Rhinolophus ferrumequinum: one gene and its partner. Each later gene encodes a partner of the first gene's protein in a complex. Links are inferred from orthologs where the notes say so. Each region holds a gene or a part of one and is shown on either strand. Other genes may lie near its edges. The genes, in order: CELF1 and CALR3.

Region 1 (8,140 bases):
CATTACACTAAGTGAAATAAGCTAGTCACAAAAAGACAAATATTATATATCTGACCACTTACATGAGGTATCTAAAAGTAGTCAAATTCTTAGAAATACAAAGTAGAATTGTGATTACCAAATGCTGGGCGGAGGGAGCAAAGAGGAGTTGTGCAATGGGTATAAACTTTCAGATTTGCAAGATGAAAATTCTATAGATCTGTTTCCCAACAACATTAATGTATTTAATGCCACAAAACCATATATTCAAAACTAGTTAAGATGACAAATTTTTTGTTACGTGTTTTACCACATCAAAAATGCGAATATAAAACATGGTTAAAATGGCAAATTTTGTATATATATTTCACACAATTTTTAAAAATTAATAATGTAATATATCAAAACCCACTAAATTGCGTGTTATGTTAATTATATCTCAATAAAGCTACAGGAACAACAACAAATAAGGCAGAAGAAACAGCAATTTGTTGGGAGTATCCTAGAGCAGAAAGGAGTCTAATGCTCCTACTTCCTCCAACTTCACCCTGGCCTCCAGGTGACAGCTCTTCTCTTTCCCTTTCCAAGGCCCACCACCACTTCTAACCTCCCACTTCCTTATTAGGTCCAGCCTCACAGTAAAATTAAGCTCAAGAAGCTACAGTGGCAGTCACAGGAAGGGGCACCGAATTCAGGACTCACTCTACATTTAGGAGCAGAGCCTGAATATTTTAAAAAAAACAAACAAACCCACCATACAGTAGACATACAATCACTGTTAGGTCTCTGCCCTTCCTCTCCTCCTCTTCCAGTCCAGCATGTTTAAAAGAGCAACTTCTCTGCTCCTGTACTGGGATATCCACTGGCCTACCTCACACGTGCTGGAGCTGTTAATACAGAGCATCATTTAAAGTGTGGTCGTTAAACCATGCCTATGACCTATTATTAAATCTTAAAAACATGTCACAAAACCATTACTAGGGGGTTCTCTTTTGGTAAAATCAATATTTCTATAACATATAAAAAGGATAAGATAAAGACTAAATATTAATAATATTAATAATCACCTGACTGGTGGGAGTAAGGGTGAGTTTCTTCCTTTTGGGTTTATCTATTTTTATAATAAATCTATAACTTAATAAGAAAAATAAATACAAGTCTTTATAAAAAATAAACAAATCATCAGGCTCAATCAAAATTTCCCTGTCTGCCTCTCATACCACAGGCACTTTCACGTGCTATGGCACTAAAGTTAAATTAGCAGCATGTGAGGTAGACACTATTTCCTCCATTTTGCAGATGAGCAGAAACTGAGGCTCAGAACAGTGAGTTGGTCACAATTATACAGCTAACAACTGACAGAGCAAGGATTACAATCCAGGCCTCCTAACTCCAAGCTCAGGAACCTTTCCAGTCCATCACATCTTAAAGGGCAATTTGCTCGTGGTATTGTTTTTAAAAAAATCTGTGATGAGACTGTTTTAAGAACACTTGCTATGTAACCTTGGGCAGAAGTCACTTAACCTCTGGAGGCCTCAATTTCCTCATCTGAAAAGGGACGGGGTTGGAAAAAACATTCTTTCTCTAACAGCCCCACATGCTAATGGATTTTAAGTCCAGACACTATCTAGGTGATAGCATCTAGGAAAAGAAAACCCTATGAGGAAGAATGAATGGATGGAGAAAAGTTGTGGCCTATGCTCTGGGACACGAATTATTCTTAATGGAAACAGGTGTCAAGAGGAAGGAACCACTGGGGGAACCATAAACTTCCTGGTTAAAGCAACAGCTGAAAGCTCCAGATTCAATCTTGGCTAACTCATGATCAGAACTACGTAGTATAAAGCTAGAAGAATATTAAAACTGGCACGAGGGAGTGTGGGGAAACTGTAGCAATAGTTTATGCATGCTACGGTAACTCCATGCTTTTCCAAGTGGACTTATCCCGTGTTCAAACAGAAAGAGCCCTGGACGATTCTAAGTGGAGACACCTCCTTCCTCACCAAGAATTCCAGGAGACTGAAACTTGCATAGCACTCCAGATGCTACACTTGAAGAGAGCCAACCCAACACTTGTTGGAAAGGTGAAAGGATGCAAGAAAAGCCTCTCCAACCCACAGAGACTCACAGACAGTAAAAAGCCTTTAAAAGGTGAAGTTCCTGTAAGGAATTCACGGGGTATCTGTAACCTCTTACACTGCAGACATTACAACACTCCACGCTATTTAAAACTGTTATACAGCCTTGTTACTCGAGGGTAATAAAAGTACAGCATTGACTCCGCTGGCAAAAATGCTTCCATTTTGCTGAAAAGTCTCCGAACAAAATCTCGCCACCTTCTTCTCAACTATAAGGACGAGCCTAATCCAACAAGAAGCTCCTTAAAGCTTGAGCAACAGTCTTCAAGAATTAAAACATCCTGCCCCGAGGACAACAACCAAGACAGCAATGGCTTTAAATTCAAAACCGGGTGCCTAGCAGAAAGCATTTCACTGCGCTCCGCGCTCCCGGGTGCGAGATCCCAGCCCTGCTTCTAGTAGGCCATGACTGGGTGAACACCTGATGTGGGGGGAGGGCGAGCCAAGGCCCTTGCGGATCTGGGCCGAGGAAAAGGGGCTCGGAAGGCTCCTGAGGAGAAGCGCTGCCCTCCAGAGGCGGGGGGTCCTGGGGCCCCCCAGCAGTGAGCTCCAAGAACACGTGGGGCGACAGGAGCAGGGAAGGGGTGTCTCGGGCAAGCAGCCTGGGTCTGGCAAGGCGGCCGGAAAAAGAGAGGACGGACCTACCCCTGGGCAGAGAACGAAGGCTTCTGGGCCCGGAGGTGAACGCAAAGGGCGCAGAGAGAGGGAGCGAGGCCACGAGGAGGGCGGGTCTCCCTGGCCGCGGGGGCACGCGCCGGGCAAGAGCTGCGGGACCCGGGGAGCTGAGGACCCCGACACGCTGAAGGAGACAGCTGACCTGCCTCCAGGGCGCGGGGAACGAAGAGCGGCCGCGCCCGGACGGCCCTGTGCCCCACGGCCGCCCGGACCGGACCCGCCCCGCGGCGCCTCCCTCCTGCCTCCTTTCCCTCCCTCGCTCCCTCCCTCCCACCCGTGGCCCGTTATCCCGCGGCCGCCGCACTCACCAGCGGCTGCACCTGAGCCCGCCGCTACCTCAGCTGCTGCCTGCGCCTCCGCAGCCGCCGCCGCCTCGCTGCTGAGGCCGAGTCCCGGGGGAGCCTCCGCGTCCCGCCGCCGCTGTCGCTGCCGCCAGAACAGAACACCCCAAAATGGCGGCACTTCCGGCACCTACCACCGGCGGGGAGGGCCTAGGAGGAGGGGTAGGGCGGTGAAGGGGAACGTACCATCGCGGTGCCGCCCGCAGCGCCGATCAGAGCGGAGCGCGGCGCAGGGGCGGGCCGAGCTCCCGGCGCTGCAGCGCCCCCTCGGGCTGGGGAGTAGAGAAGCAGCAGCGCCGTAGCCCCCCGGGGCTGCGGGGGAACTCGGGGAGCTGCTGGGGCTCATCTCTTTGTCTCTGAGCTTTCCTGGAGGGAAGGGTGGGAACACCACGGCCTGGGAATCTGAAGTTCTCGGCTCTGCGTACCGCACCCAGCAGGAACTCTGGATGGCTTGGTGGGCGAGGACCCCTGCTTGGCACTGAATATGCGCATAATAAAATACTTGGTAAATGAATGGTTGGGTTGAATGCCTTGGTGTTCGGCCACAAGACAAACTCTCCTTTCTGCCCCAGCAGATGAGTTACAGGACCCAGGCCTTTCTCCTTTGCTGAGATGTGGAATGTGAATGTATTGCAAGCTTTCTGAATTAGCGGAGTGCTTTCTAGCGGGTTGATCCGCTGTGTGAACGCACAACCTTGCAAAAATCCCTGCAGCACCACGAAGCTTATAGGGGTTCTGTTAAGAAACTGATGTCCCAGCCCTAAACTGCTTTTCCCAGAAAAAAAAAAAAAATTCTGAACAGCCCAGGTTAGGACGCTAAAGATCAGGATTTAGGTGGAATGCAAACAGTGCAACAGTTTATTCTTTTTAAAAGGCTAATAACGTCTTTTGTTTGGCAGGTTCTACACCTCGTGGGACAGTGAAATAGAGTCAGAAAAAGAAAACTTAGTTCTGGGACCTTTTGGCCCCAGCAACATGCAAATAACTAATGGGTTTGCAAATGATTTTCCTGCAACGTCATCGGGCTTTCCAAAGCAAATAATTCTCATACCCACCAATACTGATTATACTCTACCTTACCACAAAACACGCGCGCGCGCACACACACGCACGCACATAAGTGGACTCCCAAGCATAAGTCTCAAGGGTTATCACATATATTGGAAGCAACTCTTTCCCTTTTAGGAGTAAAACAAAACTAACCACAGTTTTTGTGGTATCTTGTAGAGCGGAACAATTAGCTGCTGAATTTAACACTATCATATTCCCTAATCATGCTATGTAGTTTGTCATTTTACATTTATTATGCTAAGATATTATCTTGTTAATTGTTTTATGTGTAATTTACTGAGAACATCTTATATCTATAGACCCTGTAGCTTATAGAATGTTGTCACATACATTCCCACAATTTTATATTTGTCTCCCAGCTACCACAGACTATAGAAACCTTTTAAGTGGAGAATCACTCATTTTTTGTGAATGATAGAATTATCCAGATATCCATATGGTTCACTTCCTTACCTTCTTCAGGTCTTGACTTAAAATAAACATTACCTTCTCAGTTGGGCCTTCCCTGACCATCGTATTTAAAATTACACATTAATGGACTTATTGGGATGATTACTTTGTGAGGTATATAAATGTCTAATCGCTAGTTGTTTTGTACACCTGAAACTAATTATAAGTAAATAAAATTACACACACATACATCCATGCTTCTAACCTCCCTTTCCTGCTTTGTTTTTATCTAAAGTACTTATCACTATCTAACATAGTATATTTTGTACTTCATATTTTATTTTATTTGTAGTCTTCCCCCACCAGAAGATCAACTTGATGGGGATTGAGATTTTGTCTGTTTTATCCTCAGGGCCTACAATAATGCTTGACACATAGTAGGTGCTCAATAAATATTTTTTATTTGATTTACATATATTGTGTAATGATTACCACAATAAATTTAGTTAACATCCATCATCACATACAGATACAAAAAAAAATATGAAAAATATGTTTTTTTTTTCTTGTGATGAGAGCTCTTAGGATCTATTCTTTTTTAACTTTCGAGTATACCACTACATAGCACTGTTAAGTATACTCATGTTGTACGTTTCATCCCCTGAACTTACTTATCTTACAACTGGAAGTTTGTGCCTTTTGATCACCTTCATCCATGAGCTAAATGAGAGCAGGGACCACACCTGTCTTGTTATGCTCATGTTGGACCAGTGCTTTTCACAGTGTCTGGTTCAACAGATGTTTCTTGAAGGGCACCCAGAAACTTCTTCCTATTTTATCTGTCCCTTGACCTCAGGCTCCCATTGGCAGAGAGGAACTGCCACTCCTAGCGGTGTCACTTTTGCATCTAATTACCGAGGGGCCACAGCCCATTAGCCCAAAGCTGGGGGGAAGAACAATTACATGAAGAACATAAATGAGCTCTTATAACTTCAAAGGGCTTCACAGCACAGAAAAAATACTCGAGTCCAAATACAAAAAAAAGCCAGATGTGAGATGAAGAGCTCCCTGTTTCATTTTTTGCCTTCCTAATTGATTAAGATTTGTTTTTAAAAATAGCCAGTGTTAGCAAGGGGGCAGAGAAACAAGCCGCCTTCAAGTGCTGGTGGGAGTAAAATTCAGATAATCTATCTGGAGGAATATGAAATTTTATATCCCTTTCTAGGAACTTATTTTAAAGAAATAACCATGGATAAGTGCAGAGATGTACTGATGTATATGGATCATTACTTTGTTCAAATAGCATAAAATTCGATACAAAAGGAGATTGATAAAGTATAGTATATCCATAGCTTAGAATATTATATATAATTTCAAATAATGATCCAGAAAAATATTTAATTGTGGGAAACTGTTAATATGATACATGTTTAATGAATAAAGCAGGTAACAAATTAATAGGTACAGATGATTCCATCTTTGTTGGAAAGTGTGTTTGTTGAGAGAAAGAGACAAAACCCAGAAAGAATAGTTATTAAAGTATTAACAGTGCTCTCCTCACCACCATTTGGTATTATCAGTCCTTTTTTAATTTTAGTCATTCTGGTAGGGGTGTAGTGGTATTGGATTGTGGTTTAAATTGTTTTTTCCCTAATGGCCAATAATGTTGAAAAACTTTACATATATAGTACTTACTGACCATTTGGATATTCTCTTTTGTGAATCGCTTACTCAAGTCTCTCTCTCTCTCTCTCTCTCTCTCTCTCTCTCTCTCTCTCTCTCTCTCTCTCTCTCTCTCCCTGATTTGTTGGAGTTCTTTATATATTTTGAATACAAGTTCCTTGTTGGAGATATGTATTTTATATATCTTCTCCCAGTCTGTGGCTTGCCTTTTACTCTCTTAATGAATAAAAGTTTTTAATTCTAGTAAGGCCCTATTTATTGGTCCTTATTTTATGGTTGGTAATTTCTGTGTTCTATTTAAGAAAGCTTTGTTTACTCAGGCTGTGAACATTTTCTCCTTTAATTTTCTCGTTTATTGCTTTAATCTTTTGCTATTAGATCTAGGATTCATCTCTAATTTTTGTATATGGTGTGAAACAGAGGTCAAGTTTCTTTTCTTTTTCTTTCATGTGGATATACAGTTGATCCATCACCACTTGAAAAGACCATCTTTTCCCTCCTGAGATTTGCAGTGAAGACTTATTTTTTTGCACTTTTCAAATATTGTTGGTAGCAATGAGAATTGATACAACCACTTTGGAAGACTGACTATATCCACTAAAGCCAAACAGCTAAATGACTTATGCCCTATGATGCAGCAATTCTACTCCCAACAGAAACATGTACTTATTTCCACCAAAACCATGGTCTATAGCACTCTTTTTAATAATAGCCCAAACTGGAAATGAAAGGTAAATAAATATGCAGCATACTTACAATGGACTACTTATATAGCAATCAGAAGGAACAAACTGCTATTGCATATAACACTATGGATGAATTGCACAGACATAATATTGATCAAAATAAGCCAGGAAAAAAAGAGCATATATTGTATGAGTCTATTTAATTAAAGTTTGGGAACAGTCAAAAATAATAAGAAAAGTCAGAAAAGAGGTTACTTTTGATTGACTGAAGGGAGTATAAGGGAGCTTTCTGGAGAATTAGAACATTTTATATTTAGTCTGGGTGGTCATCACATGGGAGTATAGACAAATTAAATTTATCAAGTCATACCCTTAGAATTTATGCACTTTCTATCGCCAGGAAGAATAACAATAAGTGAGCATTAGGCAAATGGACAAAGGAAACGAACATGCAATTCCTAAGAATACGAATGGCCAATAAACATAAGATGTTCAATCTCAGCTCACATATAAAGATATTCAAATTAAAACAATGTAAATTTATTTTTTTACTGTCAGTTTGGGATAGAAATAAATTTTAAAGGTTGATAAAGTTGTGAGAAATAGGCACTCTCAATGTATACAGACATAGCCATAGTGGAGGAAAATTTAACAATAGTCATTAAAATTAAAAATATTCACAGCTTTTATATAAAATTCTGGAAAATGCTAATAAATCTGTAGTGGATCAGTGGCTCCCAGGGAATGGGATATGAGAATAAAGAAGTGCGGGAAGAAGGGGCTACAAAGGGGCATGAGAAAACTTTTTGGGGTGATGGATACGTTCCATCATCTTCATTGCAGTGATGTTTTCACAAGTGCGGTATATATATATATATATATATATATATATATATATATATACACACATATATATGACATATCATATATATGTCAAAGTGTACACTTTAAATGTGTAATATATGTCAATTATACTCAACAAAACTATGAAAAGTTCTCCATGACCTTTTAAAAATATGAACATATTCTTTAATATAGCAATTGTATCTAGAAATGTTTCTTTCAGAAACGCAAGAAGTGGGAAAAGCATACACAAGGCCTTTTTTGGCAGCATTCTTTGATTCAGCCAACTGGTATTAATTGAATGCTAACTATGTCAGACACTGGGCTAGACGGT
Region 2 (7,956 bases), on another chromosome or scaffold:
CTGATCCACGTCTGCAGGGAAGACCTTAATGTAGCCCCCTCCACAGTCCATTTTCTGCTCGTGTTTCACTGTGTACTGAATGACCAGTGTCTTCCCTTTATTGGTAAATGGTTTGAACCGTGCAGAGATGGCATAGAATCGGCCATTTTGAGTGGTTTGCAGACCTTCAAACAAAAAGCATTCATGAAGGATTAGAAATGACACGCTACTCAGTGATGCAGGAAATTAAATAGTTGTCTTTCCCCTCCCCTAAATAATAAACCTCCTAACCACTTATGTCTATCCAGCGCTTGTAGCTTTTTTATACAATATACAATGGACATCCCACTACCAGGCTCTCTGCTGCCATGGAATTTCTTTTTGACACACTAAGAAGATGTTTTTGTACTTAATACACCAATGTTATGTCTTATGTTATAAAAACATTTCAGCTCTGAATGACAAATATGCAATCTAATTATGGATAAAAGGTTAATTTTGCTTCCATTCATCTTCCAAGGGGGTGGGAACATACAAGGAAGCTTGTGTAGCAACTGAATTAAAAAACAAAGCATTCTACTTCTTTTCCTTAATTCTCATCTTAAAACAGTGAGTTAAGACACAAAACAGCAAATGGATAGAGTGCTGATCTGTAAAAAAAGTGTTTCATTGCACTGGGGGCACTGGGTGAGTGTCATCTGTATGATGGCTCTTTTTATAGAGATACCATCCTTTCGTCATGTGAAGCATCTCATATTCGTTTTATAGGTTTGTGTTCACTTCAAGAACAAAACTCCTGGACTGGCCCAGTGGCTCAGGCGCTTGGGGCTCCGTGCTCCTAATGCCAAAGGCTGCCGGTTCAATTCCCACATGGGCCCGTGGGCTCTCAACCACAAGGTTGCCAGTTCAATTTTTCGACTCCTGCAAGGGATGGTGGGCAGAGCCCCCTGCAACTAACAAGGGCAACTGAACCTGGAGCTGAGCTGCGCCCTCCACAACTACGATTGAAAGGACAACAACTTGACTTGGAAAAAATCCTGGAAGTACACACTGTTCCCAATAAAGTACACACTGTTCCCCTTCCCCAATAAAATCTTTAAAAAACTAAAAAATAAAAAACATAAGAAAATAACAAAACCCCTTTTCAAGAGACACTAGGCTCTGTACCAAATCCTTATCTTATGCTGGAATTCATCGGACACACCTAAAAACAGAGCCAGTCTTATAACCTAGTCTTCCTCGCTCCAGACTCTGGCCCTCATAGCTGCCTACGCAGAGAGTTATCATATGAACGAACTTGGCATTTCGTATCAATAGGTCCAAGCCTGAACTCACGCTGATTTCCTACTACCACACCTCTCTTTCTGTGTTCCCCATTCTTTCCTCACCCTTGCCTTTCTCAGGGGATTTGTAGCCCCTCCCCCTCTCTTGGCCTCTACCATCGAGGCAATTCCTAAGGCCACGTGATTCACCACCTCCATGTCTTATTACCCTTCTCAGCGCCCCCCCATGGTTTCCTACCACCTCCCATCTCTGTCTGACTAAATTCTATCTGTACATCCATGGCTTCTATGTCATAGTCCCAGGGGACCATAACATAAGGGACCAAATTAACTGGTATCCTCAGTGCCTTGCCCGCGTTGCATCTGCATTTAGCAGTCATGTGCTGGAGTGAATGAAATGCACAGAATCTCAGGAATCCAGACTGGAGGAAGGAAAAACATTGTGGAGAAAAAAGCAAGTGGGAACTTCTGCCCTTGGACAAACTTCATGGAATAACCTGTTTGTTTTCATTCCATGTAGTCTGAATTCCACATAGCCTGATTTTTGACCAACTCTTTGGGCCAACATGTAACTTACAAAACAACGGATATACAATCGAAAACCAGAGGCTGCTGGATAGGGCAACGTCGGGCCAAGATAAAGGTTGAATGGAAGGTGGAAAAGAGGAAAATTTTTCATCCACATAAGGGTCGGCAAATTTTTTATGTAAGGTGAGAGAGTAAATGTTTTAGACTTTGTCAGCCTTTTGGTCTCTGTCCCAACTACTCCATTCTGTCTTTGCAGTATGAAAGCAGCCATAGACTATATGTAAATAAATGAGCATAGTTGTGTTCCCCTGAAACTTCTTGTATGAACCCTGAAATTTCATATATTTCATTGAATTTTGTATAATTTCTGCCTATCACAAAATAATATTCCCCTTTCAGTGTTCCAACAATTAAAAAATGTAAAAATCATTCTCAGCTTGTTGGCTGTACACAAAAACAGGAGGTAGACAAGCTGTAGTTTGTTCCCTTTGATCATCAGGAATGAGAAGAAGCCAGAATAGAGGTTATCCTTGGTACCAGGAGGCTACTGACTGAAAGGGTGGGGGCAAAAGGGAGGCCTCTAGGGAGGAGGGGCTGAAAATGTTCCCTAGTTTGACCTGTGTGTACAGACGTAAACATTCCTCCTGTTGTATCCCCTAAGATCTGTACACTTGACAACATCTAACTTTTACCTTGTTTTACTTCTAAAAGTGAAAATAAGAAGTATTTTTTCCTCTGCAAGGCAAGGCCCGGGGGTCTCTGCAGTGACTACAAAGCAGGGTGATCTCGGGCAAGTAAAGAAAGGAGAAAACAAGAAATAATGCCAAACCCTACCTGTGCCTTCGTTTCCCCAGCTGTGAATGGGTGTAAGAGGTGTTCGCCGTGAGCCACACCTACCTTGAAAGACTGTTATGGAGAGTTTAGCATTTAGCTAGACTTTTCTCACGATTCCTACACTAACCTTTGTCTTTCTCTTTATGGCCATAAAATTTTCCCGACGAGAGTCTAAAATGCCCCAATTGGGAGTCATTAGTGGATTGCACCCATCGGTTCCTCCAGCGCTCTGTGGGGCGAAACAACAATGGTTAGGGCTGAAAACTGTTAATTTGGGTCACGGTGAGGGGGCCCATGGTGAGGGGGCCCCTCGAAGCTTCGAAGCTTCGAGGCTTAGCCTCATTCATTCCACTGCGACGCGCCAGGGCCACAGGAGACTCAGGCCATCCCTCGAGCAGCACGGAACCGGGGAGCTTACGACCCCTGCACCGCGGGCGTCGCCCCTTCACCTCCGTCTAGAAATTCCTCCTGAAAGTAGACGGTTGCCAGCGCCACTCGCAGCACGCAGACCGCCCAGGCCAGGACGTGAGCCGCTGCCATGAAGGGTGCAGGGCACTTCTGTAACCGCCTCTGCTCCCAGCGCTCTCTGCCGCGCTCCGTCCCCGTCCCGGGACTACAACTCCCGTCATACCTCGCGATTGTGACCTGAGGCATGATTGATCCCTGATGCGCGGCGTAATCCGGTCCCGTACTACCACTCTCATGACGCCCCACAATTGTGACCTGTGGCGCTATTGGTCTTTGGGGGGGCGGTACCTGCTGGGAAATGTAGTCACTTCCGCCTTGGCGCCGTTGCCGGGGCAACGGACCTTTGGTATGAGTGCCCCGCGGAGATCCTAGGCGGCCGTCGCGGATGGACGCCATGGGAGGAGGTTGGAAGGACTAGCTGGGCGGCGGCCGGGCTTGGGAGAGGAGTTGCAGGGAATCGGGGCTCGTCCGGGGCTGAGCTGGGAAGGCTGCCCCCACCTCCCGCCCCGCGCCTCATGCCTCAGTTTCCCTGTCTGGGCCCACTCGGGCGCGTGATCCGGTGTGAGTCGTTTCCGATTTGGGGAAAGACCCCGGAGAAAGACTCCGAGGCACGTCAGTGTTTTCAAAGTTTTTATTTATTTTTAACAACTTTGAGGATGCATTTACATACCATACAGTTCACCCCCTTTAAGTGTACAACTCCGTTGTTTTTAGTAAACTTACCAAGTGGTGCAGTTATCACCACAATCCAGCTTTAGAACTTTCCATCACTGGAAGAAAATCCCTCTTACCCCTTTGCAGTCCATCCCCGCTACCACCCCCAGCCCCAGGCAACCACTGATGTACTTTTGGACTCTGTTGATTTGCCTTTTCTGGGCAGTCCTTACGAATGGAATCGTACAGTGTGTGGTGTTTTGCATCTGGCTACTTTCACTTATTGTAATGTGTTTGAGATGTATGCCTATTGTTGTGTGTATTGGTATTTGTTCTTTCTTATTGCTGAATAGTATTTCATTGCATGGATGGACCGCAGTTCTCACCCACTCTCTAGTTAATAGGTATTTGGATTGTTTCCACTTTTTGCTTATTGTAAATAATAACTATTATGAATATTTGCATACATTTCAATTATCTTGGCCACATGGAGTAGAATTGCTGGATCATTTGGTAACTATGGTTACCCTTTTGAGGAACCACCAGACTGCATTCCAAATTGGTGACTGCATCATTTTACAATCCACCCCCCCAACAGGGTATGAGGGTTCCACTTTTTTCACATCTTTACCAATGCTTGTTATTATCTGTTTTTGATTATAGCCATTCTGGTGAGTGTGATGTGGGATCTCCTGGTGGTTTTGACTTGCTTTTCCCTAATGGCTATTAACGTTGAACATCTTTTCATGGGCTTGTTGGCCATTTGTGTATATTCTTTGGAGAGATGCCTGTTCACATCATTTGCCTACTGATTTATTTTTAATTGTATGTATTTTAAATAGATCTATTTTACTTGTGGTAATATGTACATAACATAAAATTTGCCATTTTAACCATTTCTTCTATTGTTTTATTTTAAAACCTAGGGAAAATTTCAGAAGAACTAAATGCTAGAAAACCTGGCCTGGTGATAGGGCCTCCCCTCTGACCCACAGAAAGTTCTGGACTGAGTCGTCTCCTGGGCCTCAGCTACAAAAATATTAACGAAGATAGCTGTTGACGTTTCAGAGCAGTATGGAGACGAGGTACGATTCTGCGTCTTGTCTCTTTTGCCTCACACATTATTATTATTATTATTTCTTAAAGATTTTATTGGGGAAGGGGAACAGGACTTCATTGGGGAACAGTGTGTACTTCCAGGCCTTTTTTCAAGGCAAGTTGTTGTCCTTTCAGTCTTAGTTGTGGAGCTTAGTTGCGCAGCTCAGCTCCAGGTCCAGTTGCCATTGTTAGTTGCAGGGGGCGCAGCCCACCATCCCTTGTGGGAGTCGAACCAGCAACCTTGTGGTTGAGAGGACGCGCTCCAACCAACTGAGCCATCCGGGAGCTCAGCGACCCCTCAGCTCAAGGTGCCTTTTTCAATCTTAGTTGCAGGGGGCGCAGTCCACCATCCCTTGTGGGAGTCGAACCAGCAACCTTTTGGTTGAGAGCCCGCGCTCCAACCGACTGAGCCATCCGGGAGCTCAGCGGCCGCTCAGCTCAAGGTGCCTTGTTCAATCTTAGTTGCAGGGGGCGCAGTCCACCATCCCTTGCGGGATTCGAGGAGTCGAACCAGCAACCTTGTGGTTGAGAGCCCGCGCTCCAACCAACTGAGACAGCTGACCACCCGGGAGCTGAGCGGCAGCTCATTGACTTCATTATAGTTGCGGAGGGTGCAGCTCGCTGGCCCATGTGGGAATCAAACCAGCAGCCCCGCTGCCCAGAGCTCACGCTCTCTAACCAACTGAGACCCCCGTCTGCGCCGCCTTACATATTATTTTGCGGGAGACATTATGCTCACAGAACAGATCTCCCTCATTCCTTTTAATCGCTGCATCGTGTTCCATCATCTGAGTGTGGTCTCCTGGACTTTACCAGGTCTCTATTGATAGGTTCAGGTTTTCGATGAGTACAAACAACACTGCCCTGGCATTCCTTAAATATACATCTCGGCGCGTTTGAGAATGTAACTGTAGGTAAATTCCCAGATGTGAAATTGCCAGGTCAGGGGTCTGTGCAGTTCACATTTTCATTGCTGGTGCTGAGTTTCGCATTAAAGGGCTGCAGCCAATACATACCCATCCGTGCCGTATTTCTCCATCTGTTTACATCTTTAAAGCCTTTTGAAACCTTTGTACATCTTGCAGTGGATCGTTCCTACTCTCTCAGGGGCACACAGGAACTCTGAGAATATGATGAAAGCTCTGGTCCTTCTCCCACAACAGTGTACGCCAGCATGCACACTCGACCTGTGGCCGACAGTCGGTGGGGGGTGCTGTGTCTGTCCATAGCTTTCCCCTCCTTCCTGGGCAGTGGTTCTCACACTTTAAGTGAAATAAGATTTGGCAAGGAGCCCATGAAATACACAGACTGTGCTTCAACAGCTTTTTGTGAGAGAGCTGAGGACACTTGGATAAAAGAGGAGCCTCGACTTGGGGTACGATTGGGGAGCAGGACTCACTCGGATGACAGGGAAAGTAACTGGTGAGGTAGTGAAGCCAAGTGGGGGACAGTGGGGTCTTTGGAATCAGACCTGAGCTTTGAATTTGGCTCAGCTACTCATCGGCCAGGTGACCTAACCTGTGGGGGCTTTCATTTCCTCCACCTCCTGTAAGAAGGGGTGACAATAATCGACTCATGGGGTTGTGTGAGGGTTAGATGAGGTAATGTACCTCTGAGCAGAGGGGTGGGCACACTGCTGAAGCCTGAGAACTGCTGGTGCTCATGTTTCATATGTGACAGGTCTCATTTAAGACCAGGTGTTGAACGGTCATTCATTAAGTGGTACCAAGTGTCTAATCATTTTACTTGTCAGCATCAGGCTTGAAGGGGAGGCTCTGGCCAGACCGCGAAAGAGGATTTGCTCTCTTCTGGGGTGGTGAGAGCCACTGAGAGATTTGAATGCACAATACAAACATCAGGTGTTCTTACTATAAGTTTTCTTTCTTTGCTCCCTAGAATGGCTTCAACAAGGAAAACCAGCCATCCCATGCGTGATATCTTGGGCGATTTCAGTGATATTTCCTTAGAAGATTCCAAGGTGGAAGAAATCAGAAACTTGAACATCAGTAAGAATCTCACCAAAAGAGCTACCAGTCATAGCAGATTTCTAAAAAGAAGCCAGACTCTGGGTGAAAAACACTTATTCCCGAAAGAGGATGCTGGCCTGGGGGGTGGGCCCTGGCTGTCCTCAGGTAGACCCCTGACCACGGCCTCGAAGCTCAGGACCAGTGCCGCACTCAGGAAGCTGGCCCAGATTGAATCCAAGATCATGAACCGGAAGGTGCAGCTGGACTTGTCTGACATGGAATCCAACCCAAAGACCTCCAAGGACAGTCTTCCCAGGAGAGCAGACGAAATTCCTCCAAGGAATACGGTTGAACTTTCTTCACAGGAAACAGTCAAAACCTCCCAGAAGCAGGCCTGTGCAAATCCTGTCACTGAGAGTGACACGCTGAGAGGAAAGACCAGTAGGTTTCTAAAGAAGAGAGAGCCATCCATTGAAAAGGTATCCCCTAAAGCCCATTTTGGGAAAGAGCGGAATTTTCCAACACCCAAAGAAAAAGAACCTACTAGAAAATTGGATTCTCCAGACAGTGATGAAGAGGAAATGAAAGAGTTGCTGGGAAGCTTGATGGAATCTTCTAGAGAAAAAGAAATACGCACAAAGCAGGGTTTAACCAGAGTCAATGAGAATGAACAAATTGAACTATTCTTGGTAAGGTTCGCATGTATTTCTTTTCAACAAAGCCTTTGCATTTGTACCTTTCTGTCATAGAGCTAGAGACTTGATAGCAGCCGTCACCCATCTACCTGAGAAAAGGGATTGCCGAGGAAAATTTGGGTTTCAGACAGTCACAGCTACTATTGTGGGCATGCTCTGTAGGGGACGGAATTATTGGGGGCACATTAGGCAGTTCTGCCATACTAACTAATTCGTTACTGTGTACGCCGCAGGACAGCACTTTGTCAGACGGATCCAACACCAGCAGTGATTAATGCCTTCAGCGACCACGCCTACTTGTCACTTGTACCACACAGCAATCGTTCACTTGGGAAGACTGTATTTCCATTTCTTAATTGGGATGAAAGTCACATAAAATTAACCATTTTTAAATGAACAATCCAGTGGCATTTGGTACATTTACAATATTGTGCAACTACCACCTCTGTG

The links.
Region 2: CELF1 (region 1) and CALR3 share a complex: the UniProt entries of both Homo sapiens proteins name them as parts of the EIF2 complex. The link is inferred for Rhinolophus ferrumequinum from reciprocal best matches to the Homo sapiens genes CELF1 and CALR3.

The regions. Positions count from the first base shown.
Region 1 is NC_046294.1:13,704,275-13,712,414, reverse strand, and holds the start of CELF1 (CUGBP Elav-like family member 1), read right to left. Parts: upstream 3,253-8,140; 5' UTR 3,101-3,252; intron 2,969-3,100; exon of another isoform or gene 2,763-2,968; intron 1-2,762. UniProt on the Homo sapiens protein: RNA-binding protein implicated in the regulation of several post-transcriptional events. Involved in pre-mRNA alternative splicing, mRNA translation and stability.
Region 2 is NC_046301.1:50,011,360-50,019,315, forward strand, and holds the start of CALR3 (calreticulin-3), read right to left. Parts: upstream 3,224-7,956; 5' UTR 3,165-3,223; coding exon 3,074-3,164; intron 2,854-3,073; coding exon 2,752-2,853; intron 165-2,751; coding exon 1-164. Other genes in the region: C18H19orf44 (uncharacterized protein C19orf44 homolog), read left to right, coding at 4,821-4,831, 6,741-7,500. UniProt on the Homo sapiens protein: During spermatogenesis, may act as a lectin-independent chaperone for specific client proteins such as ADAM3. Required for sperm fertility. CALR3 capacity for calcium-binding may be absent or much lower than that of CALR.